Linked DNA regions of Notamacropus eugenii. The protein of the gene in region 3 purifies or fractionates together with the protein of the main gene of each other region. This does not show direct contact. Links are inferred from orthologs where the notes say so. Each region holds a gene or a part of one and is shown on either strand. Other genes may lie near its edges.

Region 1 (10,087 bases), on a different chromosome or scaffold from region 3:
AATTTTACCTTGATAGTTTCTAGCTCTATGACCATAGTCAAGGCATTTAACTTTCCTCAGACTCAGTTTCCCCATCTGCTAAATGGGGATATACAGAAACTTCATAGGATTTTGTGAGGTTCAAATATTCAGTGCTTCCTAAACTATTTCCCTCCTTTGGGGGGATTCAATCTCAACCTGTGTTTTCATCAGTACAGATTAGGAGTTTCCCTGCAACTAATAATCTTAGAGTTTCTGGGGTGCACATAGAAATTCAGTGACTTGCTCAAGGTCACACAGTCAGAGACATAACTTGAACCTTCCTCTTTATAAGTCTGGCTCTCTACTCATAACTCCATGCTCTCTCACTTACTGATCAAGTTTCAGAACAATCCAAATAAAATGACAAGGAAACACAACATCATTACAGCACTATTCCCTAAGCAACGCCCATCCATGCACATCACTAGTCCTTATTCCGAGCTTCTCTAAGTTTTCCATTTTAGGTTCTCCAACAATTTGTTCCAATAGCCATGAAGGTGGCTGAAGCAGGCATTGTGGACTGCTTAGAGCTTGGTCAGGCATGGAAGACACCAAGGTTAGGGTTAGGGTTAGGAGTAGACATCCTGGACGATCACCAGTCCTCTTGACTTTTGTCTAACCACTAGATTTTGGTGATGTTGAAAGGGAGGCTGATGACTTTGTGCACTTTTGCTTCATTTAAATGCAATTTATGTACAAGTCAAAAACCATGCCATGATGTCATTGGTCCTCTCTGAAAATGAAGGGCAAGGTTCTCCATAGCGCTGGAATTCTTTGATCCCTAAGCCAGGATGTCTATTAGTTTTCCAAGGTGAGATTTCCATCTGTGTGACATCTGTGGACTCGTAGAATTTTAGAACTTGAAAAGACCTCAGAAACTGTTTGGTCTAGCCCCGTCATTTGGCTGATGTGGACATACGGGCTACACGATGCGCTAGATGAAGTGCTACTAGTTCCAGAGTTAGAACATTCAGACTCAGTTCCTCACAATGCCATTTTCTCTCATTTTTTGCTCTGTGGCTGATAAGCTGCTAGACCTCAACTTCATCTCCCATAATTATAGTTGCAATCAATGTGTACGTAGTGCTTTGAATTTTGCAAAGTGCTTTGCATGTATCACCTTATTTAAGCTTCACAAAAACCTTATGGGGGTAGGTTTAAAAGGTAGTATTAGATTATCCCCATTTTACAGATGAGGAAACTGAGACTGAGGAACATCAAGAACTTGTCTAGGATCAAAAAGCTAGTAACTGTCTGATTCAGGTCTTCCTAACTCAAGAGCTGGCACTCTATTCACCCTACCACCCAGCTACCCTACTTCCAGCATAATAGTATTCTATATGCACATGTACCATAATTTATTCAGTCATTTCCTAATTGATGGGTACCCCTATAACTTTGGTGAACAAACTTTGTTTGCCTCTGATTTTTGCTGGGAACAAGCAAAGCCACCTGCTATCCATCTCAGATGAGTTGATAATACCTAGTTATGATGTTTCTCATTCGTGTCTAACTACTGAGTCCTAACCTTTCCTTAACCAGCCCCCTCATCCCCTTTCCAGGGAGGGAAACAATGCTAAGTGGTCAAGTTTGATCTTATATATTTGTTCTTCCAAAAATAAAAGAAGGATCTTCTGGAAATAAACATTTGTGTAAATCTTTAGCCAGTTTCTTCAAAGCCTGAATCTACCTCCACTCATACCACACATTATCTGTCAGTGTTTCCAAACCATGATGGGGAGGATGTGAAGGTAGGATAAGAGATGGGAAGCGAGAGTCTGGGGTAAGGCAAGGAAGACCCACTCTAAAGGCTACACAACGAAGTAGCATTGTCACTTACTACCTGCGTGACCCTGAGCAAGTTATTCAACTTCTCTTGGCTTGTTTCTTCATCTGTGGTGGAGAAAACAAAAACAAAAACAAAAAAACCTGAGGGGATTAGACCAGATGAACTCTAAGGCTCTTTCAGTTCTAGATTCTGCCTTCAGAGAAGTTCCAAGGGGCTCAAAGATGGTGTGGAAAATGTACAAATGGTGAAACATCTAACCACAGCAAGGTACTGTCCAATGTCTTCCTCTCTTTCCATACCTCCCCACATGATCACTCTATCTCTTTATGAGGGAAGCCCAGTGTAGGCTGGAGTCATATCATGAGAGTTTGTTAATTTCCAGTGTGAACATTTACACCTTGGGAACTGGCAAACGATATAAATCAGGCCTTGATTTATTGTTTTACTGATTCCTAGACTGAAGAAAATGAGGGCGAAAAAATTGGTAATATAGATTAAACTTAAAGGAGTGGCATGTATGATTCTTTTTTTCTACTGGAGAATCAGTTAACATTTATCAGCACACCACTAGAAGTATCTTGGATCTATTGATATGTTGTCATTTCGTTTACCTTTTTATTTGCAAGCAGTCAGAGTTAAGTGACTTGCTCAAAGTCACACAGATAGCTAGTAAGTATGTAAGGCCATATTTGAATTCAGGTCCTTCTGATTCCAGGGCTATTTTGACACCTCGCTTCCCCATTTCGCTTACTTCTTTAGCACCCTCTAGATGGCCTCCAGATGTTGGTTTTCTAGGTGTGACTCTTAGCACAGTGCCTTGGGCATAAGCACTGAATAAATACTGGTGGTAGTCAAAAGGCACTTATTAAGCACCTCTGTTGTAGCAAACATTATTCTGGCTCCTGGTGATACAAAGACAAAGAAAATGAAATGGCTTGTCCACAAGAAGCTTAAGGTCCATAGGGGCACATAACTACACACACACACACACACACACACACACACACACACACACACAAGGAAATGGTCATTGGTGGGTTGACGAAAGGATTCACGATCTTCTGGGGGATTAGAAAAGGCTTTCTATTGGACAAGATGTTTGAACTAAGTTTTGAAGAAAACTTGGGTTTCTCTAAGGCAGGGGTGAAGACGGGGTGAATTCCAGATTTGGGGACAATACCTGCAAAGGGACAGAGACTGGCACCACCAATGAAGCATATTACAAGAGGAACAGCAGAAAGACAAATTTTGGTGGATGGAAGAGAATATGAATGAATTGAGGGAATTTATGAAGATGGAAAGGTAGGTTGATGGCTATAAGGAATTTAAAGAGCAAAAAGAGGAGTTAGTATTTGATGTCCGGAGGCAATAGGAATCCACTGGATTGTACTGGGCAGAGGAGTTTTAGAAATAAAGCTGGCACTTGTTTCGAAGATTCCCTGGAAAGGAGATAGATTTGAGGTAAGGATGCCAAGTAGGGCCATTTCAATGGTCCAGGTGAAAGTAAAAAGAGTTTGAGCTAGGATCATGAGATATGTGGACAGAAGGGGGCAGATAGGTGCAAGAGATTCTGTGAGGTAGAATCTATGAGAGTGGACGACTGATTGGATATGTGCGGGGAGGAAGAGAGAGGCATGGAGGTGAAAGTTGTGAACGTTAAACTGGAATTTTTGTGCCTTCACTAGAGAGAAAATCTGGAAATCCTCTTCTCTCGTCCGAGCCTTTTCCCCACCCCCACCCCACCCCAGCCCCCTTCTCCTTAGATCAGCTTTCCTTGATGTGTGTGTGTGTGTGTGTGTGTGTGTGTGTGTGTGTGTGTGTGTGTGTGTGTACTGGACACCTTTAGCAAGCTGGGGAAGCCAATGGGTCTCTCCTCAGAATGTTTTAAAATGCATATAATTCATACGATTATAATGATATGGACTATAATGAAATAGTTATGAAACCATAAAGAAACAAAAACATGTAGATTAAGAGAAGTGGTCTTAAAATCTGAAAACCCAAGTTCAAGATTCGTATCTCATACTGGGCGACGCACATTTTATGGGGAGTTGGAGAGGGTGGATTACGAAAGCCCCTTTCAATTCCGAAGCTATATAAATGTTTCGATTAGTCCTGGCACTACAACTCTGGGCAAAGAGCAGGCATTTAAAAATGGCAGGTAAAAAGCTTTCTTACGAACTCTAGTAAAAGCCCACCACCATCTTTGTCACACACACACACACACACACACACACACACACTTCTTGGTCAGTAAAGCCGCCAGTCTCGTTCTGGAAGTAAGCCTTTTCTCTTCCCCGAGGTCTTCTAAGTCAGGATTCCGATGGTCCCAACCCGTTCACTTCCCCTAACTGGGCCTCAGTTTCCACATCTATAAGACCAGGGGGCTGGACTAGCGGTCCACCTGTGATTGGAATGGAAGATCCAGGAAGCCATCAGCTCTGAGGCCCGGGAGGGATGGCTACCCATCCCTGGTCGACTTCGCCTGCCTCGGTTTCCCCAGGCCGCCCACCCGGGAGCTGAGGTTTCAGAAATCTTGCTCTTTTCTGGCAGCCAAACAATCTCTGGTGAAACCAAGCTGCTCCCGTGCAGAATCCGCGAAGGCTCCTTTCTGTTTCTCCATCTCCGTCGCTATCTCTCGGAGTTCCTATGTCTCTCTGTCTCCTAAGTCAGTCCCGGTTTCTCGCTGTCTCTGAGTCGGTCTCTCCGTCTCTATCTGCCTAGGTCTCTTTCTGTCGAGTCTCTCTGGGTGTCTCCGTCTTTCCTTCCGCCTCTCCCGGCCTCCTCCCACCCCCACCCCCGTACCCTCAGGCCAGCTCTGCCCAGGACCCCTTTCAGGGGATCTCGGGGACCCCAAGCGGGCACAGCTTAAACCCCTTTCCCTCTCTGGGCGCCACACCCACGCCTCCTCTGGACTGTCCGCGGGTCTCCGCCCGACTTCTCTCTCCCTAAAGGCGGTCGCAGATTTTGTTCCCCCGCGTCCTTGCCTTCGGCAGGGCCGGGCCCCAGGCACACCCTCCCTTTCCCGATCCTAGCTGCTCACTTGTTCCCGGGTTGGAATGGAAGCCCCTTCCTCCGGGCAGGGTCCGGGACAGGCGGGGCAGGGGTAGGGGCGGGTTTGGGGCGGGGTCCTGCTCTCAGGGGCGGGTCGAGGGCGGGCCCGCTGCACTGGGGCCGGGCCAGGGTTCTGGGGCGGCTCTTTGCTCCCGCCGTCGTCTCAGCCTACGCCTGGGCTGCAGTCCGGGACCCGGGCCACCCACCCGGCAGACGGGTTCGTCGGGGCTCTAGGCTCTGAAGTCTCTTGGAGGGTAGGTGCGATCGCTCCTGCGAAGGGTTTCTGAAGGAGAAGGGGCGGAGGGATGGTCGCCCCTTTAGTGAGTAAGGGGGCTCCTCCACGGGAGAGTTTCCCCGGGAAATGAGAAATCCTCTCCTGGGGTGGGTCTCTGGAGCCTCGGCGCCCCCTCCCCCTCCCCAGGCTCAAGGATGGGGGAGAGGCTGGGAGGAGGGAAAGGGGAGCCTGTGGAACAGCTTCCCCACTCGCCCCCCACCCCGCCCCCAGCCCCTGTGCGGTCGCCCGGGGATGGCGGTAAAGTGAAGCAGTCCGCCCTCCCCTTGCCCTCCCCCACGGATGAAGGGGTGGGGGCAGGGGGCGCTGGTCGACTGCCCTCGTGTGATGGCTACCTCTCTGACTTCTGCCTTCTCTTTAGGAGACGAAAGCCCAGCCCGACCCGGCTGCGGTGTCTCCCTCCTGGGCCCTGTCTCCCCGCTCCTTCGGGGCTCCCACTAGGGTCCGCGATGGACCGTGGCGGCGAGAGCGAAGTGGACTTTTCGAGTCCCAACAACATTACCCCTTTATGGAGGAGGCGATCCACCCCGCAGCCCCAGCGGCTGGTCCGGAGCAAGCCCAGACCCCAGTCCTACCAGAGCCCCACAGGGTTGCTGATCACGGATTTCCCTGTGGAGGACAGAGGGATGTTCACTGGGAAGGAACCTTCCCACAGCGGGAGCATTTCTTCGGCTTCACCTTCTCCATCTCCGTCTCCAGACCGTAGGATGCTTCAAAGGAGCCCCGTGCTGTGGTGCCCTACTAGAGGGTCTGTGCCCAATGGGAAGGCTCTCTCTTTGGATTTCAGAGCTGTCTCCCAGAGGGTGCCGGCCGAAAAGTCACCCGGGGGCCATAGGATGGTGGCCAACCCTTCTGTGAGCTACCCAGGTACAGTCGCATCCCCAGAGACTCAAGCAGGGCACCCCCTGAGGATTCCCAGTGCTTCTGTCCCAAGGAACTCGGACGAGGAACTAATGGGACCGAATGTCAGAACAGGGTCTTCTCTCAGCGCATCTGTGCCTTCTCTTAACAATTCTCCTGCTCTCCCACTATCACCACCCAGCCATACTGCCAAGGACCCAGAGAGGGCGCCTTTGAAACTCTCGCCCTGCCCACAGAGGGCTCCCCCTGAACAAAAACTGTCTCCCCAGCGTCTGCCTTCCAACCCAGAAAAGCCTGTGGTCATTTTGAGTACCAACAGCCCAGCTGCCCTCAAAGTAGGGAAACAACAAATTATCCCCAAGGGCTTGGCCTCTGAGATTAAAATCAGCAAATCCAGCAGTCAAAACTCGGAGCCCCATAAGAGAGTCTTTAAGGTCCGAAGCATGGTGGACCCCATTAGTGCCCCACTGGTTCCTGCAAGTGATGGAGAAGGAGAAGCAGAAAGCGACTTAGACAGTCCTGGGTCCTTGCGGAGAGGCTTGAGGTCGACTTCCTACCGCAGGGCTGTTGTTAGCGGCTTTGATTTTGACAGTCCCACCAACTCCAAGAAGAAAAACAGAATGTCCCAGCCAAGTCTTAAAGTGGTCATAGAAGACAAGGAGAAGATCTCTAGCTTAGGGAGGATTAAGGTGAGTAAATTATTAGGAAGCAGGCACATACCCAAAGTGAGTTTGTGTGTGTGTGTGTGTGTGTGTGTGTGTGTGTGTGTGTGTGTGTGTGTTTGGAGGGGAGTGCAAAAGACTATTATCTTTTCTTGGTCAGTAGCTGATAGTCTCTTTGGGGCCTAATTCAGAGAGCTTGCTTCCATTATATACCACCCTGGGCCCTGCCACCTCTCCCCACAGCCAACCACACACCTTTATGACCATTTCAGTCCTGACTGGCATCACCAGAGGAGATCATACAATTTTCAATGAGTAACTTCAGGCAAAATATTTGCAATAGGAAATGAAAAAACTAATGTCTAATTCTGTTTGTTAGATCATCTGCAGAGCTCCGTTCTCCCAGCTGCCAGGGTGGGATTCCCACAGCAAAGGCTTGCCCATTTCACCCTTCCCCCAATCAATTCTAGTGGCCCCTCCTACCTTTAGGAGCAAATACAATCTCCTCTCTGGCATTTCAAACCCTTCTCAGGCTGGCTCTAGTCTTCCTCTGAACTGGCCTTCTGGAGGTTCTATGCATGTGGCATTCCTGTCTCTGTCTTTACCTGCCACAAGTCCTGGACTACACGTTGTCCTCCCCTCTGTCCTTAGAATTCCCGAGTTTCCTTCACAGCTCAGCTCTAGCACCACATGCTATCCAAGGCTTTTTCTAATTACCTCCCCCCAATTTCCTAGCATTTATTTTTACATATTTGTGTTTTCTTTTTCCTTCCTCTTCTCTATGTTGATGCCCCCAGGACAGTTAGTGGGACTTAGTTACTGCTTAATAAAAGCTTTTCAGACACTGTTAGGGATCTCCAGATGCACAGGAATGCAGAAACAGGACCTCCTCTCAAAGTGCTTCCATTCTAATAGGGAAACAGTTTTTGTGTGTACACACACACACACACACACACACACACACACGTGCCCATATACACATATATAATTATATATACAGTATACATAACATACATATATTATCTATATATATACTTATATTGTTTCATATATGTGTGTAAATATATATATATAGTTATATACATGATACCTTTTAGAGGGGAAGATACTCACCACCGGAGGGACCAGGAAAGACTTCCACTAAAAAAGGACTAATTCAGAGTAGAGGTTTGTTGAGGGGTGAATGGCAATCAGCCAAGGAGAAGCAGTATCTTGGGGGGAGGGGATAAGAACTATATCTGCCAGAAGAAGGAAGGAATATGAAAGAATGAAGTCTAAAATGCAAGAACATTTCTTAATTAGAGAGCAGGAATTTCAGAGGATACACTGCCTTAAATACATTGTCCTCACCTCTGTCTTTTAGAATACCTAGTTTCCTTCCAAGCTCAGTTCACTTCACGTAGCATTTCCTACAAAAAGTATTTCCTGATCCCTCCTCCCTGCTGCCTCCACTCCCCATCCTACAAAGTTAACGTCTGTTTCTTTTCTATATATCTACTTACATATAAGCTGTCTCTTCCTATAGAATATAAGTTCTGCAGGCACTATTTGACTTTTCATTTTGTAGGCTCAGTGCCTGGTCCTTAGTAACAGCTTAAAACACCCCTGCGTTTTATTGATCAGAACCACTCAGCCCTTGCCATTGGAAAGTTGGGGGACTGTGTGCCCATGTGCAAAGCAGCAAAGTTTTCCTGACGTGGTACCAGTGCCAAGTAGTATTCACAGTCCCACCCCTAGTGAAATGCAAATTCAAGTGTGTAGTGACTTCCTTCTGCCTGCTTTTCAGTGGCTTTCAGTGTCAGTAATTATCATTCAGAAATTATTCACTTCTTTCCCCCCAAATAAAATGTAATGACAAGTTATAGTCTCTCCTGGATCCTAAATCCTCTGACTGTAACCACTGTCACATTTGTTGTGTTTTCTTCGACTTTTCCTTGTATTTCATCTCATCTCTGACACTTATATATGTGACGATAGGAAGGCATTTAACTCAGATGCTCAGTTTTCCACATCTATAAAATAAGAATAATAAAACCTGTAATGCCTTCCCAGGGTTGTTATGAGATAATGGAGGTAAAATGTTCCACAAGACTTAAAAGTCCATGTAAATGTCAGCCATTTCTTTAAATGTCAGTAAATGTAGCCATGACTGCTATCTTGGTGGAAGGAAGGAAGGAAGGAAGGAAGGAAGGAAGGAAGGAAGGAAGGAAGGAAGGAAGGAAGGAAGGAAGAAAGGAAGGATGGAGGGAAGGAAGAGGAGGGAAGGAATGGAGGGAAGGAGCAAGGAAGGGAAGGAAGGAAGGGAAGAAGGGAGAGAAGGAGGAGAGGAAGGAAGGGAGGGAAGAGAATGAGGGAAGGAAGGAGGAAAGGGAAGAAGAGAAGAAAAGAAAGGAAGGGAAGGGAGGAAAGGAAAGAAGGGAGATAGGGAGAGAAGTAGGGAGGGAGGAGAGAAAGAAGGAGAGGAAGGAAAGAAAAGGGAAAGAAAGGAGAGAGGGAAATTAGATGTGTTCATGCATCCACTTTCTCAAGAAATGAGAAAAATCTCTCCAGTAGGTCAGAAACTTATTTTAGCTTGTATCCAGCTAACATTTTTGGCTGCCACATCTTTTCTTGATTAATCAGTGAACTGTAACTTGTCTATATAAATGTCATGTATTTAGTGCACATGAGAGTCTGTTTTATTTTAGAGGGTTATGGTCTTGTAGAAAGGAGCTTATATAATATTTTGTGTTTTATTTATTTTTTAATCTGATAGGAGAAGAAAGTTTAGTTCCAATGTCATGTTGTGAGATTGCTAGATCAGAGGTGCCCTTAGGTGGAAGTCATTGCTGCTTTGTAGGGCAGGCCTTTGTTTGTTAGGGCATCATCCCATTTACCTGCATGGCCTACATTTAGTAGAGATAATACATTCAGAATTTTTTAAAGACATAAGACAGTCTGCTGGCTTTGAAGAATTGTGCTCAGTCACACTGGCTCACATGTTTTGCTCTCTTTTTACTTTTCATATTTTGTAGAAGAAAATGCTGAAAGGTCAAGGAACGTTTGATGGGGAAGGTAAGCATTCAGTTTTCCACATAGATGAATTATTTTCTGTTTCAATCTGAAAACAAAATTACAATAATGTAAGAAAAATGACAGAATCTAAGCACCTTGAGGGCAAGGATTCCAATCAAAGGAACAAAAGAGCAAAATTGATTTAAAAATGCCCAAAGTATTTCCCCTCTTTCTGTATTATGTATTTCAAAGTTCTGAGTTGAAATATTGTCTAATAATACAAGCCACAAGTAAAGTTTATGAGGAAACAGTATGATACCACGGGATAGAACACTGAATGAGATCTAGAGGATCCAGGTTCCACAATCTAGCTCTGACACTTATTTTTTGTGTGACCTTGGACAAGTCACCATT
Region 2 (9,831 bases), on a different chromosome or scaffold from region 3:
GTGATGGGGCCACTGTTCCTCGGTGTTGAGCACCCACAACTGCTGCTTCATCTCAGCAGTCAAGTCATGTGTGGCTTGGCTTATAGCCGCCTCAGCTGCCATGTTGGAGTGCAGAACAGGACTCCCGTAAGGGCTTAATAAATGCTTGTTGCTTGACTACACCATTTAGGGTCTTGGTTTTCTCATCTATCAAATGGGAGGATTGGACTTGATGACTCCTAAAGTCCCTCCCAAACCTAAATCTATAATCCTATGATGTGCTAGATGCTAAAGTGAATTCCCATATATGAAGAAATAGAAGGAAAGGGTCTCTGCCCACACTAAAGCCCACCTCAGAGCATTATCTGTAAATAATCATAAGACCCATGAAAAAAATAACAAATATTTATTCTCTAATGTGCAAAGCATTGTACTAAGGGCACTGAGCACTGAGCAGCCATGAAGTAGAATTTGTAGGAATTGGAATGAGAAACTGTGTATTCAGATCCTGGCTCAGTGGATAGAGCATTGGGCCTAGAATTAGGAAGACTCGAGTTCAAATTTGACCTCAGACACTTATTTACTGTAAGACAGGTAAACATACAGGAGGGCTGCTGGAACAGATTCATTCTTGATCAGGTCAGACAAGAAGGACAAGGAGATAGCTTTGGACAGGTTAATAATCTTACTTTATTCTAGCCTAGTTTTCTCAAGAGGGTTTGCTAATATAGCATTCCCTAGTCACCCTTTGTATTGTTAATGTATTTTTGCATAATGGGAAGATCTTTCCCATCCATTAATAGGCCCACGTGACCTGCTTGAGTCACATGGAAACCTGAGTACCATGAGTCTGTGGTGGGATGAGCTTGCCCAAAGGGTGAAGCAGGAAGAGTGGAGCAGAACTGAGAGGAAGCTGGTCACAGCAGTTAGAGCTGAGGGAGAGAGAGGAAGCAGGCAGCAAGATGTGAGTTGTTCATTTGTGGGAAAGTCCTAGCAGGGGGAAGGCTTGGGGATAGTAGTGCCCCTTGTATTATTGTGTATAGATTTCTTTGTTGCTATGATGGATTTGGCTTTCTACTGTCTGTTATATTTTGCAATTCAGAATTATGCCAGCATATTCACAGCCCCCATAGATGCTATGAATATTTCCTTGGCTCTACACCCTTCTCACAAAGACCAGAGTGAAGGAGGGGCAGCTACCTCTACATCTCTCTTGATGGAGTCAGTCAAGACAGGCATAACTTGTGCACTCCCTTAAATCCCCGCAAGCCTCAGTGGGGGCCTGTTGAGGCAAATACAGATTCCCCACTTACTGATCAGTGCCCACCTGCTTTATAGGGCAACAGACAAAGAAGGCATATTGCTGACAACAGCCTCACAATTTTACATTATATCTCATTGTGCAGTTGCAGTGGGTATTTTCAGTTTTAAGCACAAATGTCTATATTATTTATCATTATGTAACGCTGCACAAGTGTGGTGGAGATGTTTACCTTGAGACACTGAGTGCAAAGCATGAGCCTGGGAAATAGAGATTTTGTCCATGGATCCTGAGGAACTGAACTCTAAGAAGAATAACAAAAATCCACCTTACACACGCTAAAGTCCACCTTACTTACTCTGTGTGACCCTGGGCAAGTTACTTAACCCTGTTTGCCTCAGTTTCCTCAACTGAAAAATGGGGATTATAACAGAACCTACCTCCCAGGGGTGTTGTGAGGAGCAAATGAGATATTTGTAAAATACTTAGCACAGTGCCTGGCACATAACAGACACTTTATAAATTCTAGCTATTGTCCTCATTATTGTTAATACTATTACTTCTAGGTTACTTACTCTCTGAACCTCAGTGTCCTATTCTGTAAAATTGGGATAATAATACTACCTACTCACAAGTTTGTACCAGTAACAGTATGTTGTCTTATATGAATGATATTTATTATTCTTATATTATTAAAGATAAAAAATTCCCTCAGGAATTTTCAGTTCACCTGAGGATCTCTGATGGGTATAGAGATGAGCAAAATACCAAGTGAGATGCATGGTTATACAATAAAAAAAAAAAATCAGTATTATGGTAAATAACCCATTAGATTCCCAAGGGGAGATTTAAACAAAAGGTACTGGAACAATTTAGTCAATAGTCAATAAACATTTTTTTAAACTATGTGCCAAGCACTGGGGATACAAATTAAAAAAAAAAAACCGTTCCAGTCCCTTAAGGGCATAACAGTCTAAAGGTAGAAAACATGCAAAATGAATCTGAAAAGTTGAGAGATGGTGAAATGGAAAAGCCAGAAATCCTGAAGTCATGCAGCCAGGTGGAAAATGAGACATGTATGTCCTAAGCAGAAGGTAGTGATGGGATGTGAATATCAAGGTTGATATGATCTTGCAGAATGATGAATCTTCCCAATGATGAGGTCCCTGAGGCATGGTAGAAAGTCAGAGAAATCCTAGCTGAGTGCAGCCAGATGAGAAATGAGATTCCAATTTGAGTAGAAACACAAGCTGGGGTAATCAGCAAAGCTAATAAATGACAACTGTGAAATAAGTGATAGAGACAAGAAGTGAATGCTCATTGACGGCATTGACTGATGGGCTCTTCCTTTGTCTTCTCTTCAACCTGCTAGGTGATTCCTAAATGTTCCTAGAATTCAATGTTCTTGGCGGTCAGAGGAAAGATGGATTTCAGCTGGGGCTAGCTGTTATAATGTTGGAAAAACCCATTAGCCTCCCAGCTGAAGCCTGAATTCTTGTGCTAATTCTCACACCAACTCCAATAAGACTTTTATAGTCCTCCTGGAAGAGGAAGTGGAGGACTCATTTTCCAAGTGATATAACTTAGATTTAAGGTCCTTTCAAGTTCTACCAGTCCAGGTCAGTTAATGGATTCAGTAGAATTTAAACCAAACCTTTAAGGTTGGATAGAATTTCTAGGGACACAAGAGGAAGACAAATATTTTGGAAGGGACTCGGAGGCAGAGAATAGTAAAGGCATATTTAAAGGGACAATGAATAAACCAGTTTAGCAGGTTCATTTAAGGAAATGGTGGGTAGAATAGGCCGAAAGGGAAGGCTGGGTTCAAATTAGGAAGGATATTGAGTGCAAAGCTAAAGTGTTTGCTGATATGGCAAAACTTCAAAACTAAAACTTCATGGGGAAGTCTACCAGAGATTTTTTAAAAAGAGAAGAAGCATCCCATACCATCCAAATTCTAACATTTTTCCCTCTACATCTCAATTTTATATAATTTGCCCTTCTGATCATCAAATTACTTTGTAGTTATCCTAATGGGCCTGGTACGTGCGTGCGTGCGTGCGTACGTGCATGTTGTATGTGTGTGTTTCCAGGCTGTGCAGGACGACAGGGCATATCTGGACCTGTTGCAGATCCAGGAGGTCTCTTTGCAGTGGATTTAGGGGGAGGTCTGCTTTTTTTAGCTTTGATGAAATTTACAACTTGGAAAATCCTGCCTTATTGCAAAACAAATCCTATTTTAATGATTTTTAGTAAGGTCGGAATTATATCTTAATGGGATTGATAAATCTCTGACTAGATTTTTAAAAAAACTAACTCTAAGACTTTGAGAAGGAGGTAAGAGGTATACAGGATAGAGCACTGGATCTGGAATCAGGGATACCTGAGTTAAAATCTGGCCTCAGACATTTAACAGTAATATGACAGTGGGCAAGTCACTTAACCTTTGTTTGCCTTAGTTTCCTCAACAACAAAATGGGGATAATCATAGCACCTACCTCTCTGGGTTACTGTGAAGATCAAATGAGAGTATTTGTAAAGTGCTTAGCAAAGCACATCATAGGTGCTTAATAAATGCTTATTGGGCTTATTTCCCATCCTCCTCCCTCTGAGACTGTTTGGATTCAGTCTCTACCCTCTACCATCATGAGGATGAAGACTTGTTGTTAGAAGTGACCACATGCATTTCAAATTCTAACTCCAACTCACTTTAGATATGTGATCCCCATATGGTCATTTAGCCTTTCTGAACTCATTTATCTAGAAAACTCATATCTAGAAATATTTTTATAAGTAAATACATTCATTTATCTATGAAATGAAGATAGTAACCTGAAGCATCTACCTTATAGATGTTATAAGGGTCAAATAAGAAATGTATCCTTGGTAAAAGGGAACTGGATTTGTGAGTTAATTGGTTTGGGGAATTCCCAGGTGTGGAAATTCCCTCTACCAAAGCAAGTTTTCTGCAATTTAACTGTCTTTGAAAGTTGCGTAGAGCACTGAATGATTAAATGAGGAGTAGGGGGGAGGGTTATGGTCTGTATGCTTCAGAAGTAGCACTTGAATTCAGGTCCTCTTGGTTTTGAGGGCAGTCTTGTATCCACTAGAGCATGCTTTCCCTACAAATATCAAGTATTATTCATTCAAAACACATTCTATCTGTAAGGCACTGTGTTTAGGTGCTAGACTCAAAAGACAAAATAAAAAAACCTACCCTTGAGGAACTTAATGGGGATTTATGAGGGGCGTTGGAGTTATGAAGATGTTAGGTTCACATTTGCTCTCTTAAAGTCTGTGAAACCCTGGTCATATCATTGAGTCCCTGTTCTTCTGACAACTCTACTTAATTCTACTTAAGTCCCTGGAGGGTTCCGTATTGGTGGAGGGAATTCAGACCCCTGGAGTTCCCTAAGCAGACAAAAAAAGTCACAGAATCTTCCATCTTCCAAGAGCACATGGATCCTTTGGAGTTTACAGGTGTCAGCATGTACTTTATGGACAGGCTCCATGAACAGAGCCTGTTTTGATCTCAATTCAGCTTTACAAGAATTATTTATTGAGCCCTTAGGATCTGTGGGAAATGTGTGAACCTCCTCTCTGGTGCTGGAGGCCACTCTGACAATCCGGCTGCTGACAATTCTTTTGTAGACCAAACCCTTTGAGCTGTTTGAGCTCAGAAAGAAGCTGCTGGACGTGGGGCCCATGCAACCCAATTTCACAGGCTAATAAAGAAATTACCAGAAGGAATTTTAATTTTCCCCAGTTGCATTTATTAAGACATCTGGCAGAAACAGATCAAATTTTTTTGTGGTTGAGGGCTAAGGAGACAGCTAGAGCCCAAAGCAGTTATTCTGTTTCCATAAAGAATAGCAGAACCCTGAATCTGGAGTCTGGAACGCTGGCTTCAGAATGTTCTAAGTGGTGCCCTGGGTGCAGCTTGGCTTCCCCTTCTGTTACTGCAGGGGTCAAAACAAAGTCTCTGCCAGCTCTGCTCTGACACTCTCAATTCTAAGGTCCCTCTCAGTCCTGACATTCTGTGTTCTGAGGGTTGGTTCAGCTCTGGGCTCTATTTTCTAAGGCCCCTCCCAGCTCTAACATTCCATGTTCTCAGTTCCCTCCCAGCCCTGACATTCTGTGTTCTATCTAAGCTTCCTTCCTGGGTCTGACAGTCCATGCTCTAAGTAAGTTCCCTTCCAGCCCTAAGCTCCCTTCCTGGGTCTGACAGTCCATGCTCTAAGTAAGTTCCCTTCCAGCCCTAAGCTCCCTTCCTGGGTCTGACAGTCCATGCTCTAAGTAAGTTCCCTTCCAGCCCTAAGCTCCCTTCCTGGGTCTGACAGTCCATGCTCTACGTTCCCTTCCAGCCCTGGTGTTCTGTGTTCTATCTAAGCTCCCTTCCTGGGTCTGACAGTCCATGCTCTACGTTCCCTTCCAGCCCTGGTGTTCTGTGTTCTATCTAAGCTCCCTTCCTGGGTCTGACAGTCCATGCTCTACGTTCCCTCCCAGCCCTGGCGTTCTGTGTTCTAAGCCATCCCGGCCGGACTTTCTCGGCTCGAAGAGCCCTCCCAGCAGTGACCTTGTGCTGGGAGATCCCGGCACCTTAAGCTCCCCCCGGGCTGGCCAGAACCAGTCTCTCCCCCTCCTTCCCGGAAGCGGCCCCGCCCCCGCGGTAAACGGAGGAGTGGGCGGGGCCTCTCATGAATAATACATGGTCGGGCCCGGGGGCGGGGCCTCGCCCCCGCAGGCGGGAAGGGGGAAGCGCCGGGACTCCCGGCTGGGAAGGAACCTGGCCTCGGCGGTGGCGGCGGCGGCTGTGGCGGCGGCGGGACCCGGGCCGGCCATGGCGGTGTGGACCAGGGCCACCAAAGCGGGGCTGGTGGAGCTGCTGCTGCGGGAGCGCTGGGTGCGGGTGGTGGCCGAGCTGAGCGGCGAGAGCCTGAGCCTGACCGGGGACGCGGCGGCCGAGACGGACCCTCCGCTGGGGCCGGTGCTGGCCGCCTTCAACGGCCTCCCCAACGGCGGGGGCGGCGGGGACTCCCTGCCCGGCAGCCCGAGCCGCGGCCTGGGCCCGCCCAGCCCTCCCGGGGCCACGGCAGCGGCCGCGGCCGGGGGCTCCCCGCCCGTGCGGCGCGTGCGGGTGGTGAAGCAGGAGGCGGGCGGCCTGGGCATCAGCATCAAGGGCGGCCGCGAGAACCGGATGCCCATCCTCATCTCCAAGATCTTCCCCGGGCTGGCGGCCGACCAGAGCCGGGCGCTGCGGCTGGGCGACGCCATCCTGTCGGTGAACGGCACCGACCTGCGCCAGGCCACCCATGACCAGGCCGTGCAGGCGCTGAAGCGGGCCGGCAAGGAGGTGCTGCTGGAGGGTGAGCGGGGCCGGGCTGGGGCGAAGAGAGCGGACCGGGGGTGCTGCTGGAGCGGGGGCCCGGGGGAGGCGAGCGCGGGACGGGACGGGGGGAGAGTGCTGAAAAAGGAGGTGCTGCTGAAGAGGGGGACCGGGGGTGCTGCTGGAGCGGGGGCCCGGGGGAGGCGGGGACAGGACGGGGGGAGCCGTGCTGAAAAAGGAGGTGCTGCTAGAGGGTGGGGGCCGGGGGAGGCGAGCGCGGGACGGGACGGGGGGAGAGTGCTGAAAAAGGAGGTGCTGCTGAAGAGGGGGGCCGGGGGTGCTGCTGGAGGGTGGGGGCCGGGGGAGGCGGGGACGGGACGGGGGCAGCCGTGCTGAAAAAGGAGGTGCTGCTGGAGGGTGAGCGGGGCCGGGCTGGGGCGAAGAGAGCGGACCGGGGGTGCTGCTGGAGCGGGGGCCCGGGGGAGGCGGGGACGGGACGGGGGGAGCCGCGCTGAAAAAGGAGGTGCTGCTAGAGGGTGGGGGCCGGGGGAGGCGAGCGCGGGACGGGACGGGGGGAGAGTGCTGAAAAAGGAGGTGCTGCTGAAGAGGGGGGCCGGGGGTGCTGCTGGAGGGTGGGGGCCGGGGGAGGCGGGGACGGGACGGGGGCAGCCGTTCTGAAAAAGGAGGTGCTGCTGGAGGGTGAGCGGGGCCGGGCTGGGGCGAAGAGAGCGGACCGGGGGTGCTGCTGGAGCGGGGGCCCGGGGAGGCGAGCGCGGGACGGGACGGGGGGAGCCGCGCTGCTAAAGGAGGTGCTGCTGAAGAGGGGGGCCGGGGGTGCTGCTGGAGGGTGGGGGCCGGGGGAGGCGGGGACGGGACGGGGGCAGCCGTGCTGAAAAAGGAGGTGCTGCTGGAGGGTGAGCGGGGCCGGGCTGGGGCGAAGAGAGCGGACCGGGGGTGCTGCTGGAGCGGGGGCCCGGGGAGGCGAGCGCGGGACGGGACGGGGGGAGAGTGCTGAAAAAAGAGGTGCTGCTGAAGAGGGGGACCGGGGGTGCTGCTGGAGGGTGGGGGCCAGGGGAGGCGAGCACGGGGTAGGACGGGCGTGGGGGGGAGCCCTGCTGAAAAAGGAGGTGCTGTTGGAGAGAGGGGACCAGGGGTGCTGCTGGAGGGTGCGGGCCAAGGTTGGCAAGCACAGAACGGGGGGAATCGTGCTCTAAAAGGAGGTGCTGCTGGAGAGGGGGCACGGGGTGGGGGTGGGGGGTGAACACGGGCTTTGGAGAAGGACTAGGGGAAGCCGCGCTGCCAAGGTCCTGCAGGACAGTGAGTGGGGGGACTGGAGGGAGCCGACGGCCGAGCAGCGCGTGGCTTCGACCAGCTCTGCCTACAATGTCCAGGACTTGGTTTTGCTCGTCTCCCCTGGAACTCACGCACCCTTTCTTCCTAGTAAAGTAGGTTTCTGGTCACCAGCTTGGCATTTTGGAAAACCCTGATGACTCTAGTTGGAAAAGTTCAGCCACAGCCGAAATGCTTTATAGCCCTGAAAATTCAGATTTATTTGGGGCAAGATGGGAACTTCTAAGTGTTTCCATGGGATACTTTTTCATTATTTGTTAAGGCTTGGCATTCTCCCCTGTATGACACCTTTTGGATTTAACTGGAGAAGTACAAGACCGCCGCCGCCTTCTTTTCTTACTTCTCTCTTCCCTAGATGGGTTTTTAAAAAATGCACGTCTGCTGTAGATTTGGGCATACCACCAAAATGCTGATTAATTTATGGGAATTTAACTCATCATTGACTCTCAACAATAACCCAACTAGATCTTAGCGTTTCCTTGAAAGGTACGAGACTGAAAAGGCAAGTTTGTTTAGTTAATGAGCCTTACTTTACAATGAAGGCACACTGAACTTGAAGGTTATTGCCAAGATAAGAGTTTTGCCCCTTTTGTTTAGTTTACGAAAGTCTGGTGCCAGTCTCAGGCTTGATTTTTTAAAAGACTTTTAAAACTAGAAACTTCAGGTAGAAAAACGAAATACAATAGTAGACTGGAAAGTTCAAAATTATACTTTATTAACTGTACTTATTACTTATGACAGGCTGCTTATACTAGTGGATAGAGAGCTGGCCCCCCAAACCTGGAAAACCTGAGTTCAAATCTAACCTTTGACACAGAGACTCTGACCCTGAGCAATGTGACTTAACTTCTTGGTGCTCCAGGCACCTCTTTTAAGACAGGAAAATTGCCAAGAAGGTGCTGACCGACTCTAGTAGAGGAAGTTAGTCACAATGAAATCACATATGTCTTATCCTTATTATTTACATACGTTGATTATTAATTTATATTTGATCCACAGTGTCATATAAACATAGTGTTGATGTAATGAAATGATTGTAGTAGACTGCATAAAAGTTGTGAAAGTAAGGCTAAGAAGTTCAAAATGAGTCAGCAGTACAACATTGTATGTGGCTTACTATATCAAGGGAAGTGTAGCGTCCAGAAGTGGGAGTCTGACTATCCTGTTCTGCTCAGATGTCATTTAGAGTATTGTGATACTCCGGGTACCACATTTTAGGAAAGACCATATTTGTTGACAAACCAGAGAGGAACCAGAGGAATGCCCCCAGTAAGGTCAGGGATCTTGAGAGCTTACCTTCTGAGGATCTTTTTGGGGAAAAAAAAGATGGTAGGATATCTTTGTAATTATTTGAAGGTCTCTCATATGGACGAAGAATTAGACTGTATCTATTTATCCTCAGAAGGCAAAACAAAGAAAAGTGAGTAGGACAGACTATTTAGGCCCTTTCTAAAGGAATACTTCCTGATAATTCTAATTGTCCAAAGTGGACCTGGAATGTAGATTTCCTTTCACTAGTGGCCTTAAAGTGGAGAGTATCCTGATTCAGTTATAAATTAGATTAAATGGCCTTCTGATACTGAGATTGTCTTTCATACAGTAATAGGGTGATAAATTTTATCTGGAATTCAGAAGCTGCATGCACCGAAAATAGAAGGCCTGCCTTGGAGTGAGGAAGACCTGGGTTTAAATCATTCTTCTCACACAAACTAGCTGTATGATCAAGAACAAGTTGCTTAACTTCTCAGAGGTCCAAGATTTGTTACAGATAAATTGCAGATTTGTGTAGGTGGAGAGAATTTCCATACCTGGACCTCCCAACACTGATGAAATCAGGACTAGACTGAAAAAAAAATCTGGCATGCTTGGAAAACAAGGAAGAAATGGAATGATTCTTTAAGTAGGGATCTTTAAG
Region 3 (10,376 bases):
AAAGACATCCAAAAAAGGTAAAAGGACCTATTTGTGCAAAAATATCTATAGCAGCTCTTTTTTGTGATGGCAAAGAATAGTAAATCAAAGGAATGCCCATTAATTGGGGAATGACTAAATAAACTGTGGTATATGATAGTAATGGAATATTACTGTGCTATATGAAATGACAAGCAGAATGATTTCAGAAAAAACTGGAAAGACTTACATAAACTGATGCAAAGTGAAGTGAACAGAATCAGGAGAAAATTGTACACAGTAACAGCAATATTGTTCTATGAAGAACTATGAATAATAGCTATTCTCACCAATACAATGATCGAAGACAATCCCAAAGGACTAATGATGAAATATACTATCTGCCTCCAGAGAAAGAAATGATATCAATTAAATACAGATCGAAGCATGCTATTTTTCACTTTCACTTTTTCTTTGAGTCTTCTTGTATAAAATGATTAATATGGAAATATTTTATATAACTGCATAGGTATAACCTATATCTGATTGTTTACCATCTCAGAGAATTGGGAAGGGAGGAAAAGAGGGAAGGAAGGAATGATAGATTTTGGAACTCAAAACTTTAAATAAAATTGTTTAAAAATTTTTTAAAATCATAAATGTTAAAAGGCAAAATTATTACACACATCTATAAGACAATAAGATATCAACAAATACATGTAACACAATCAAAAGTTACAACATAAATGGAAACTAAGTAACAATAACCAGAGTAAAGAGTAGGCCAAGGGCGGGGGGGGAGAAATCATAGAAACAGTAACTATATAAAAAGGAATGATAGTGATAAGAGAAAATGATAGTTTCTGAGATGTAGTTAAATCAGTCTTCTGAGGAAAAATTATATCTCCAAAAACATTTTTAAAAAGTGAAAAAGAATTAATGAGCTGAGTGAGTAATTTAATAAACTAGAAAACTGAAAAATTAGCAAACTTCAATCAAGCACAAAAAAAGAAATCTTGAAAAAATGGGAAGATTAATAATAGAAATAGCAAACAAACATACTATGAAATGATCAAAAAAGCCCAAGCTTTTTGTTGTGGTTGTTCTGCACATAAAAATCATGTCCCTGAATCAGCAATATTTTGGGGAAGAGAGATTTAATTCTAGACCAGTACTCTTCTCAGAAAATGACCAATCTTTTGGTCCTTCAAGGTAGGAATTGCAGTTTTTCTTTGAAATGGGTGGATGATTCCAGAGATATTTATTAATTCCTCTATGCATTTCATTTAGATAATCTATGAAGACATATACATGAGTACCACACCCCTTATGCAAAGAATGGCAAAAATACTGTCCCTGTCCAAAAGAATCTCATGTGCTAATGCTAAAGGGGTCAACATATAAATATGTAGATACAAGCTGTATACAGAGTAGGTGAGACAAGATAATGGCAGTTTGGAAGGAAGAGGTGCTATGACAGGGGCCTAAGAATTAAAAATGATTCTGACCATAAGTTATTGATTTTTGATCTGATTATAGTACTTTGTAGAAATCTTCCTTGTACTTACTGGATTCCTAATAAATATCTGTTGAATCTAATTCAGGAACATATCACTTTTTAAAAGACATTTCAATAAAAAGTGTAATAAGAAAAATGTCTTTTTTGGATATGAGGAAACAGATTGAGAGAGCTTAAATGATTTACCATAGGGCACACAGCTTAGTAAGTAACTGAAAGAATCTGAACTCAGATCTAACTAGAAATCTAGTGCTCTATCCACTGTGTCTTGGAGTTGAGAAGACTTGAGTTCAAATCTTGAGCCTGAAATTTGCAATTAGACCTCTGACTTTGGTCTTATTATTTGATTTGTACAACAAGTGGAAGCACAGGACTGCTGTGGAGTTTTGAAGGTGAAGATAAAAGAGACAGGCAGAAAATTCAGGCTAGGCTGATAGTCAACCTGTTTGTTCCCCTGGCCATTGGGCTCTAGGCAGTTTTGCTGCCCCAGTCATTTTTAAGCATTAACCCTTTCCAGTGACATGGGGCTTCAACAACAGATAGTTCTGAAAGATAGTTCCAGGGGCCTGAGATGAAATTACCCTGGTCTCTTTGAATCAGTCAGCAGCAGAAGACAGAGCAATTCTACAATTCCTGTCCCATTCCTTTCGGGTCTACTGCAGCCTCAGCCTAGTCTATGCTTGGCGCTCAGCCTGCGACTATGGAACCCCAAACCCACCTTTTCTGAATCTCCTGGACAGCCTGCAAATGAATCCAGCCCCCTTACCCCATTTACTGAACTACCTCTGGAATGTATACATCTCCATGAACATATCCCAGGGTAGAGTCATTGTGCTCTATTGCCAGTCCTGAATATCCTCCACCTGGCAATGGCAACAGCTGAGTTTCAGAAAAAGTGAGAAACAGAGGGCATCTACAGGCAGACCATTCCAACCCTCAATGAAACAGGGTCAATCTTGCTGAAACACAGAGGTGAGTACAGGTGAAAATGAAAAACAAGGTCAATACTGGACAAAATATTGGTTTGGGACAGCCTAATTCTCAGAAGAACAAGTAAAGAGTTTTGGGGGAAACTTGCAGTTGGAGGGACTGCTTATTGATCCCTCTACAGTTCCTAGGCTTATTGCAGTTGAAAGAACAGGAAGATCAGATAAAAAAAAAAGAAAACTGCTGAAAAAACTTTTTGTCATGGGCAAGACAATATCGTCATTGGGAGGAAGATTAGGAAAAGGTGATTTTTATTGATGAACTTCATTTTTCATTCAAGGCTTTATCAAAACTTATCAGAAGTCTGAGTAAGCCAATAAATGTTTGAGTATTTTTTAATTCCAAAGGTACTGGAAGTCTTGTCTCCACTGAGGGAATGATGAATTCTTGTATACATATACGCACACACTCTATATTTCTATCTACCTATGTAGGTATATGTATATATACATATATGTATATATACACACATACACATATATGTATATTTATTGAGTAGAATTGTTCCATAATTACAGAAATTCCCAAATGGAAATGGAATCCTACAATATGATCTTTCATCATGTCACCCATCAGAAAAACAATTAAGAAATTTATCCAAGAATTGGAGATAATCATCCTTCAGTGATCTGGAAACTCATCTGATTTACATTCCATTGGAAATTTATGGAAATTTATATAATAGACTTGGAAAAAATCAAATATTTGTCAATGGTACACTTAAATTTCAATTGTATAAGGATGGGTTCTTGATCAAGAATTACATTTTACTTGTCAAAATTCTGTGAACTCAATGCCAAATCATGTGAAATGCGACAGGACATATTGCATAATAAAAAATTTTAAGATGTAAAAAGTTGTAAGGCTTGTTTTTGTCAATTAGTTTAAGTATTTTACTTTATGCTGTGTACACAACACTATATTTCTTCTAACTCTACCTGGAAGAGAGACTCCGAGATGTATTTGCATAAAGATGGTCATGAGGGGTTTTTTTGTTTGTTTGTTTGTTAGAAGAGATTGTAGATAACTTAGAAAAGAACGGTTTTAGTTGTGAGTAGGCAGGGATAATGAATAGCTGAAACCCTGGGAGACTGAAATGATGGTGCTGCCATTCACAAAAACAGGTGTTTGGAAGACGGGTGAATTTTTGGGCAAAGGTAATATAAACACAACCTACCCATGACTGTTCTGAACTACTCCCTCTTGTTTACCGAAAAATGAAAAGTGGAATGTCTTACTCATCATACATTAGCTGACAGCACAGGTTCACCCCTTGCAATGATGGGATTGGGACAGAGGATAGGAGTATTCCTTGCAAGCAGTATAGGGTGCCTTGGTCAGCTTAGGTAATAACCTTTCTGAAGAGCCCAAGCTTGAGGTAGAAAAACTGGAGACCAAAGGTGGGAGTTAGGATTGGGGAAGGGGTAGAGAAATATTGAAAGCGGCGGGCCAATTGTGGAGAAAAGTCATTAGCTGGCAATGGGGGCATCCTTGGAGTCGTTCTACATCCCTCCACTTTGGAGATCTCAGCAATAGCACAGAATATCATCTATGCAACTTTTGGTTGCTTTCCAGGGACTACTGGACTCTGAATTGAAGCAAAACTATTGCTCTTCTAGGAAAAAGTTGCACTTGCTAATATTATTGGAGTCTTCTGAGATGCGTAAGATGAACGCTTACGGCCAGGATTCTTAATGGAGCAGGTTTGGGGAAGAAAGGAGGAGGGAGAGCTCTGTTTCTTGAGAGAGGGTTCAAGTACATGCACAATGCACAAGCAACATTTGAAAAGAAACTATGTATTTCTCTTTAGCGAATACTGTAGCTGTTACTTTATTACACTAGAGAATTTTACTAGATACTTTGTAGCGCTTGTCACTTAAGAACTGCTTGGGCACTTTTTCTTTGAACGCTGAATGGAGGGGGGAGGGGAGGTCTGTTTGAAGGATGTTTTGCACATTCTGCACGTGTTCAGGGAAGCAGAATTTCCAGGCTGCCTCACGCTAAGAGTTCAGGATACTCACTGCACCTTGTCTGCAATTCCTTAGGCTGCATTTTCTTCCTGGTTCGTGGTGGCCGTGTTGGGTTAGCTTGTTAGGGTTAGAAGGACAAGAAAATGGGAAAGTAAAAAAAAAAAAAAATTCCCACACTTCCCTGCTTTGATCCGAGGGCAAAGCACACTATGACCAGTGTTTGTCAGCACACCCAGGATCACGGGGGAAATACAGCGTGTTGCAAAAGCTATCAAAACTCAAAACTGCGCTAGGACGAACACCCCAAACCTAAGTGGTTTCCCCCTTTAAATGGCTAACACAATTGTTCCGCTGGAAGGAGTCGCATGGGTGGCATGCACAATCTATGTGGCATACCTTTGTCTACAGCTACCCGCTAGCCTTCTAGCGTCCTCCTCCATATGGTTGGACACGAGTCCGCCTTCCCCACCCCCTTCACTTCAGTAAAGAATGACGGGATGGGCCTGAAACCGTCACGGAGGAGCCTTCCTTTCCCATTCACTAAGGACGAAGCTGGAGCGCGGTCCCGCTCCCCGGGGAGCAGAGGGGGCACGGAGCTTCTCTGCAGCCCACAGCACTGCCACCTTCACGCAGGCGGCTGCACGCCGTGCCACTTCTCTCGGGCGACGCAGGGAAGCCAGCCTTCTTCCCTCCCAACCTGCACACGCACCTACAGATCCTCCTCCCCTTCACCCCCCACTCCCCACCCCGCCGTCGTTGCAGGAGCGCCCCCCCAGGCAACTGCACCCTTCCCCCTTCACCGCGCCCCGCCTTTCTCCCCATCCCTTTCCATCCCTTCTCCGCCTCATTTTCCCTCGTTCCCGTTCGCCGTGACGTTTCACCGGCGCGCGCATGCGCCGTGCACTCCCATCCTACTCCCCTTTACTCTCCCGCCGCCACCGCCTCCTGGAGGGGGGGCGGTGAGGGAGGAAAAAAGGGGGCGGGGCCTGGGGTTCTGGAAGCCGCGGCCGCTGTTGCCGCTGCAGCGGCCCGAGAGAGACAGGGAGAGGAGAGGAGAGAGGGAGGCTGGGGTGGGGGAAGGAGAGTACGAGTAGGCGGTGAGGCGTGTGTGTATGTACGTGTGTGTGTGTATGCGGGGGAGTCATCCGCCAGGAGCCTCGGAGGAGCTCGCAGGAGGGGACGTGCGGCGGCGGCTCCTCGCCCGGCTCGGGGACTGAAGAAGGGAGAGCGCCTCGGCGGCCGCCGCCTCCCCCATCGCACCCCGCCCCGGCTCGGCCCCCTCCCCTCGCCCACGGCGCGCGCTCGCTCGCTCACACAGCCCGGGCGCGGCGGCGAGAGGAGGAGGAGGAGGAGGAGGAAGAGGAGAACGAGGGGGGGGGAGCGGCGTCTTTGCCCCCGCCTCCAACCGTGACCGCCGCCCCCCCCCCCCCCGCCGCCGGAGTCCTTCATGGTCCTTCCCCGGCCCCCCCGCTAGCCCGAGGAGCCACCGCCGCCGCCAGGCGGTGGAGAGAGCGGGGCGGGCTGGGAGGCGCCGCCGCCCGCGGACGCCGCAGGGGAAGGTGCGGCCGGGCAGAGGCGGACGAGCGGAGGGGCTGCCGCGGCGGTCGGTCCGGGAGACCGGAAGGAGGCGGCGGCCCCGCGGCCCGGGCTGTGCCGCCGCCGCTCGCGCCGCCGGAGGATCCTTGCTGGCGGTCCCCCGGCCTGGAGGCGAGCAGGAGGGACGAGGACGAGGACGAGGCGGCTGGCTGCAATCCCCCCGAGAGTCCTCCTTGGCCGTCGTCGCCGCAGGTCGTGCCGGACCGAGCGTTCCCGGCTGAGAGGGCGAAGAAGGGAGCCCGCGGAGGGTGGTGGTGAAAAACAAAAAGCACCCACAGAAAAGCAAAGAAACACTGCTGTGGGCGGCGTGACTGTTTCTTGGGCACCCTCTCCGTTTGATTCCCCCCCTGGACCATGGCCGACGACGACGTGCTGTTTGAGGATGTGTACGAGCTGTGCGAGGTGATCGGCAAGTAAGTCCTCCCCTACCTGGGGGGAGGGGAGCGTGCCTGGGAAGAAACGCGTTCGCTGGCGCCCCTGGCCCGCCCCGCCCGCCGCCTCCTCGGGTCATCCCCGTGCGTACCTGAGCCCGGAGCCCGAGCGGGGCCCTGCCACCTCCCTCCCCGGAGGGATCCGATCATTTCATTCCCCCACAGCCCTGCGTGATTTCGGGCTGTTTACATTGTATCTGACGGCTGCCGCACATGGCCTTGGCAGAGCTGACTTGGTAGTCGCTCTCCGGGAGCACTTTGGGTTATCGGTACCACCTCACCTACTCAGGCCACGAGGAGAGGCTGGCATCTTTGTTGGTTGTTGAGTGGGTCGGGGGCGAGCTGGGGCTGGGGGGCCGAAGTGGACGGTTGCTTGGTTTATGGGGCGTGTATCCACCGGACTTGATATACGCCTTTGTGTCCAACCCCAGGACCTTATTGGAGGTGGCCGCTTAAGTCTACCTAGATTAAGGTTCAAAGGAGACCGGATTCGGGTTTTTAATGTCTCGTTATGCAACAATTATTCAAACAAATGTTCATTGCTTCTGTCAAACTGGAGTTTGGATAGTTGTTTTGGCGTGGGAAAGATAGATGTATGCTTTGAGTCACTAGTTTGGTATAGTATACGACAGTGACAGCCAAAGTTCTCATCCTTTTTATCTTGGTTGAGGAATGACACTAGGAAAAAGCCAGGGGATCCAATGAATAACAGTGCTGATGGAGTGTGAAATCTGCAGTCACTCCTTTGGGTTTTTTTTCCATCCTTTAAATTCGTTTTTTAATAGTTCCCCTTATAGACTATCTTAAATGCACAATTCTGTTTAACGAATTTGTGAATGAAATGCTGTTGATTTGAGGTTGGCTTTATTTTAGTTCTGCATGTAATTTGCACATTTAGAAGTTTGAATGGCAAGATGTGAAACTGGCCTCTCTCAGATGAGTTTGACAAGGGTCCTTATTAGCTCATTGCTTTTGGGGGAGAATGCTTTATTGTCTTCTAAGGTCTAGAACTGGGAATGAAGTCTGAGATCCGTTGTTAGAGAAACTACCTTGAACTCGAAGGCATTTTGCAGGGAAAGAACTGAGTCTAACTACCTTAGAGCGGGCTTGAAATCCTGCCTGTGAAGCTGACTATCTGTGTGACCTTGGACGAGTCACTTGAACTTTGTGAGCCTCAGTTTCTTCACCTGTAAAATGAGAGGACTAGACTCTCAGATGGACAGCTCTAGATCTGTGATCCTATGATACTAACTCTTCAGAGTATCAAGAAGAATATTGAAGAAAAAAATGACTTTTTCCTAATCTCTCCATTTCTTAACCCTAGCAAGTACTTGTGGCACTTACCTCTTCACTCTGCCCCTGCAGTTCCCAGTGTCCTTTACCAAGTTGGGTACTTGAAGTTGTAGATTTGCAGATGTGTATTTTATCTGTTTCACTAATTCCTGAGTATGAAAAGTGGGTATGCTGATAATGTTGAGCATAGGTTTAGAAGGGAGGTTCAGATATTGTAATAAACTGTAGTTCCCACATGATGAAATTGTGAGTACACCTTACATATTTTACTCATTGATTACTATGCCTACGTGTTCTTGTTTAACCAACTAGTATATCCTAACGTTCTCCTAACACTGTGGTGCGGTAATTATTTGAAGCTTTAGCAATTTCAGAAAATAGGATATCTTACTAAAAACAGAATGAAAGTATTTTAGGTATACATAGAAAATTCAAGAAATTAAAAAATATAAAATAGTAGTATTACCATTGGAAAGAGTGATCAGAAACCAGTTTTGCTAACTTAATTTTCTTTTCTTTTAGTTAGAATGTGTTGCAATGGAAAGAAGGCTAAATCTGGCTTTGCTTGCTACAAGTGTGACTGTAGACAAATCACTTCCCACTCTGAGCCTCAGTTTCCTTATCTCTTGGATGAGAATTGAACTAGAAGGTCTTTTTCAGCTCAGACAGTCTGTGATCACTGATGATACAAGTTAGGTTAGAGTCTATTTAAAATAGATGATGGAGTCATTTTTGGCAGTCAGTATTTTGATTACTTGAGATTATTTCTGCTTTTCCTCCCCCTCCCTCCAAGCTCAAAGAAAGCTTCAGAACAGTTGAACAAACTGGTCAGTTAATTTTAGACTGGCTTGAGAGGAAAAGCTAGTTTTGAACTGGTACGTTTTGAATCTATCTTAATTCCTCTGAAGAGTCAAATCTTATTGAAATCCATAGAAGACAAAAATCTCATCTGGACTTGGTATTGCAAGAGCGCCATTTATTTTCTTTGATTCCTTTAGTGAATTCTCCTGTGTTTTGAAGACAGCATTTTGAGGAAAGAATGTAGTGATGGTGATTCTTGACCTTTGGAAAGTTTGAGAGGGTTATAAGTAAATCCTTGCAGCATCTATTGAAACTGGCTTAGGGACTGCCTTCTGTAGACACTTGGAAAGCACGTAATTTTTTTTTTTCCTGGGATGTGTTGAACTGTGGATTGAAAAACCTTGAAGAAATTCACAGAGAAGGGGCTTGAAAGCACATCAATATTGTTATCTAGCTACTGTGACAGTCTACAACTTTTGTTTCTCTCCAACTAGTCTTATAAGGTGTTTTGAGTTATGCCATAACTGGCTTTAAGTTCCTGCTGAAAGTACTTTGAAGGAAATAATCTCTTTGGCAAGTCAACAGGGAAACAATTTTATATTTATTCGGTTGTTTAACAAATATCAGTTAATCTTATTTTGTGCAAGACCACACTGTTAGGCGCAGTAAGAAAGTTACACATTTTGATATACTTTGAGCTTGTTTTAGGAGGGTTTGAGTGTTTCCTGTTGAGATTATCCTCTTACAGTTTCTAAAAATGTTAGCTTGCAAGTTCTTTTTCAGTAACTTTGGAATGGGGATAGACTGGAAAACATTTCCTAGGACAAATTTATTTTGGCCTTTATAGTTATTTTGAGTAATTAATCTGTGAGGGAAATACATCCTTACATCAGGACATTTTGAAAATACCTCTGTTTTCTATAGATTACTTACATTTGAAACATTTCTCTAAATTTTAAGAGTCCAATATTATGTTTTGTTGGTTAATACCTTTGAAGAGACAAGAATTAAATTATAATGGTGATTCTTTAACATTTGCAGATTTACTGGTTAAGAAAATATAGTTGTTGCTGGTAAGGGAAGGAATTAAATTGAAGATATTAGAAATTTTTTACATTATTTTATTGTACTTTGTGCAAACTTAATATAAAATAAGCAATGGATACTATTATATATATCATAAGAAAATTTGAAATAATTGTTGGAACGAAGACATAAACTCCCTTGTTTATAGTTGTTTTAAGGGAAGGGGAACAACAAAATACACATAATTTTCACCCTTATTGATGGTATACCTATGATTGCATTTTGTGAAAATAACAAATTTTTAAATATTAAGTCTTGTTTCATCCCCCATCAGCCCCCCAGAAATGACAACATTGCAGAACAAGAGCAAAGTTAACAATAAAGTTGTAACAAAAATGTTATTGTTCAGGTAGATGATAATATTTTTAAAAGCTTAATATTATTGTGTAATGCTTCATATTTGGGGGAGTTACTGTCTGAAAACAAAAAATGCTTTTTGATTGTAAGTGCTGAATTGAAAAAACCAAGACATGGATTTTACCTTCTGTGGTTTCCTGGATAGTGATAGGCACTCTGCTAAGTTCTAGGGTTACAAAAAAAGGCAAAAAGAGTTCTGCCCTCAGGGAGCTCATATTGTAATGAGGGAAGACCAGGTAAGACCATCTCACACTTAGGAGGTATTTTTGAGATAAATTGGAGCTAACTTTACCCCACAGGGAAAGCACTGGGGCTATGGGTTGGAGAGAGAGAGAACAAGAAGGCGGCTTCTTACGGAAGGTGGCATTTGAGAAGAGT

The links.
Region 1: the proteins of CASK (region 3) and ARHGEF26 purify together in Homo sapiens (affinity purification with mass spectrometry; 3 studies listed by BioGRID and IntAct, with this or other methods). This does not show direct contact. The link is inferred for Notamacropus eugenii from reciprocal best matches to the Homo sapiens genes CASK and ARHGEF26.
Region 2: the proteins of CASK (region 3) and SNTB2 purify together in Homo sapiens (affinity purification with mass spectrometry; 3 studies listed by BioGRID and IntAct, with this or other methods). This does not show direct contact. The link is inferred for Notamacropus eugenii from reciprocal best matches to the Homo sapiens genes CASK and SNTB2.

What each region holds. Positions count from the first base shown.
Region 1 is NC_092877.1:371,107,809-371,117,895, reverse strand, and holds the start of ARHGEF26 (rho guanine nucleotide exchange factor 26), read left to right. Parts: upstream 1-5,002; 5' UTR 5,003-5,118; intron 5,119-5,517; 5' UTR 5,518-5,605; coding exon 5,606-6,706; intron 6,707-9,693; coding exon 9,694-9,733; intron 9,734-10,087. UniProt on the Homo sapiens protein: Activates RhoG GTPase by promoting the exchange of GDP by GTP. Required for the formation of membrane ruffles during macropinocytosis. Required for the formation of cup-like structures during trans-endothelial migration of leukocytes.
Region 2 is NC_092872.1:708,563,975-708,573,805, forward strand, and holds the start of SNTB2 (beta-2-syntrophin), read left to right. Parts: upstream 1-5,937; 5' UTR 5,938-5,948; coding exon 5,949-6,606; intron 6,607-9,831. UniProt on the Homo sapiens protein: Adapter protein that binds to and probably organizes the subcellular localization of a variety of membrane proteins. May link various receptors to the actin cytoskeleton and the dystrophin glycoprotein complex.
Region 3 is NC_092876.1:432,451,575-432,461,950, forward strand, and holds the start of CASK (peripheral plasma membrane protein CASK), read left to right. Parts: upstream 1-6,254; 5' UTR 6,255-6,384; coding exon 6,385-6,443; intron 6,444-10,376. UniProt on the Homo sapiens protein: Multidomain scaffolding Mg(2+)-independent protein kinase that catalyzes the phosphotransfer from ATP to proteins such as NRXN1, and plays a role in synaptic transmembrane protein anchoring and ion channel trafficking.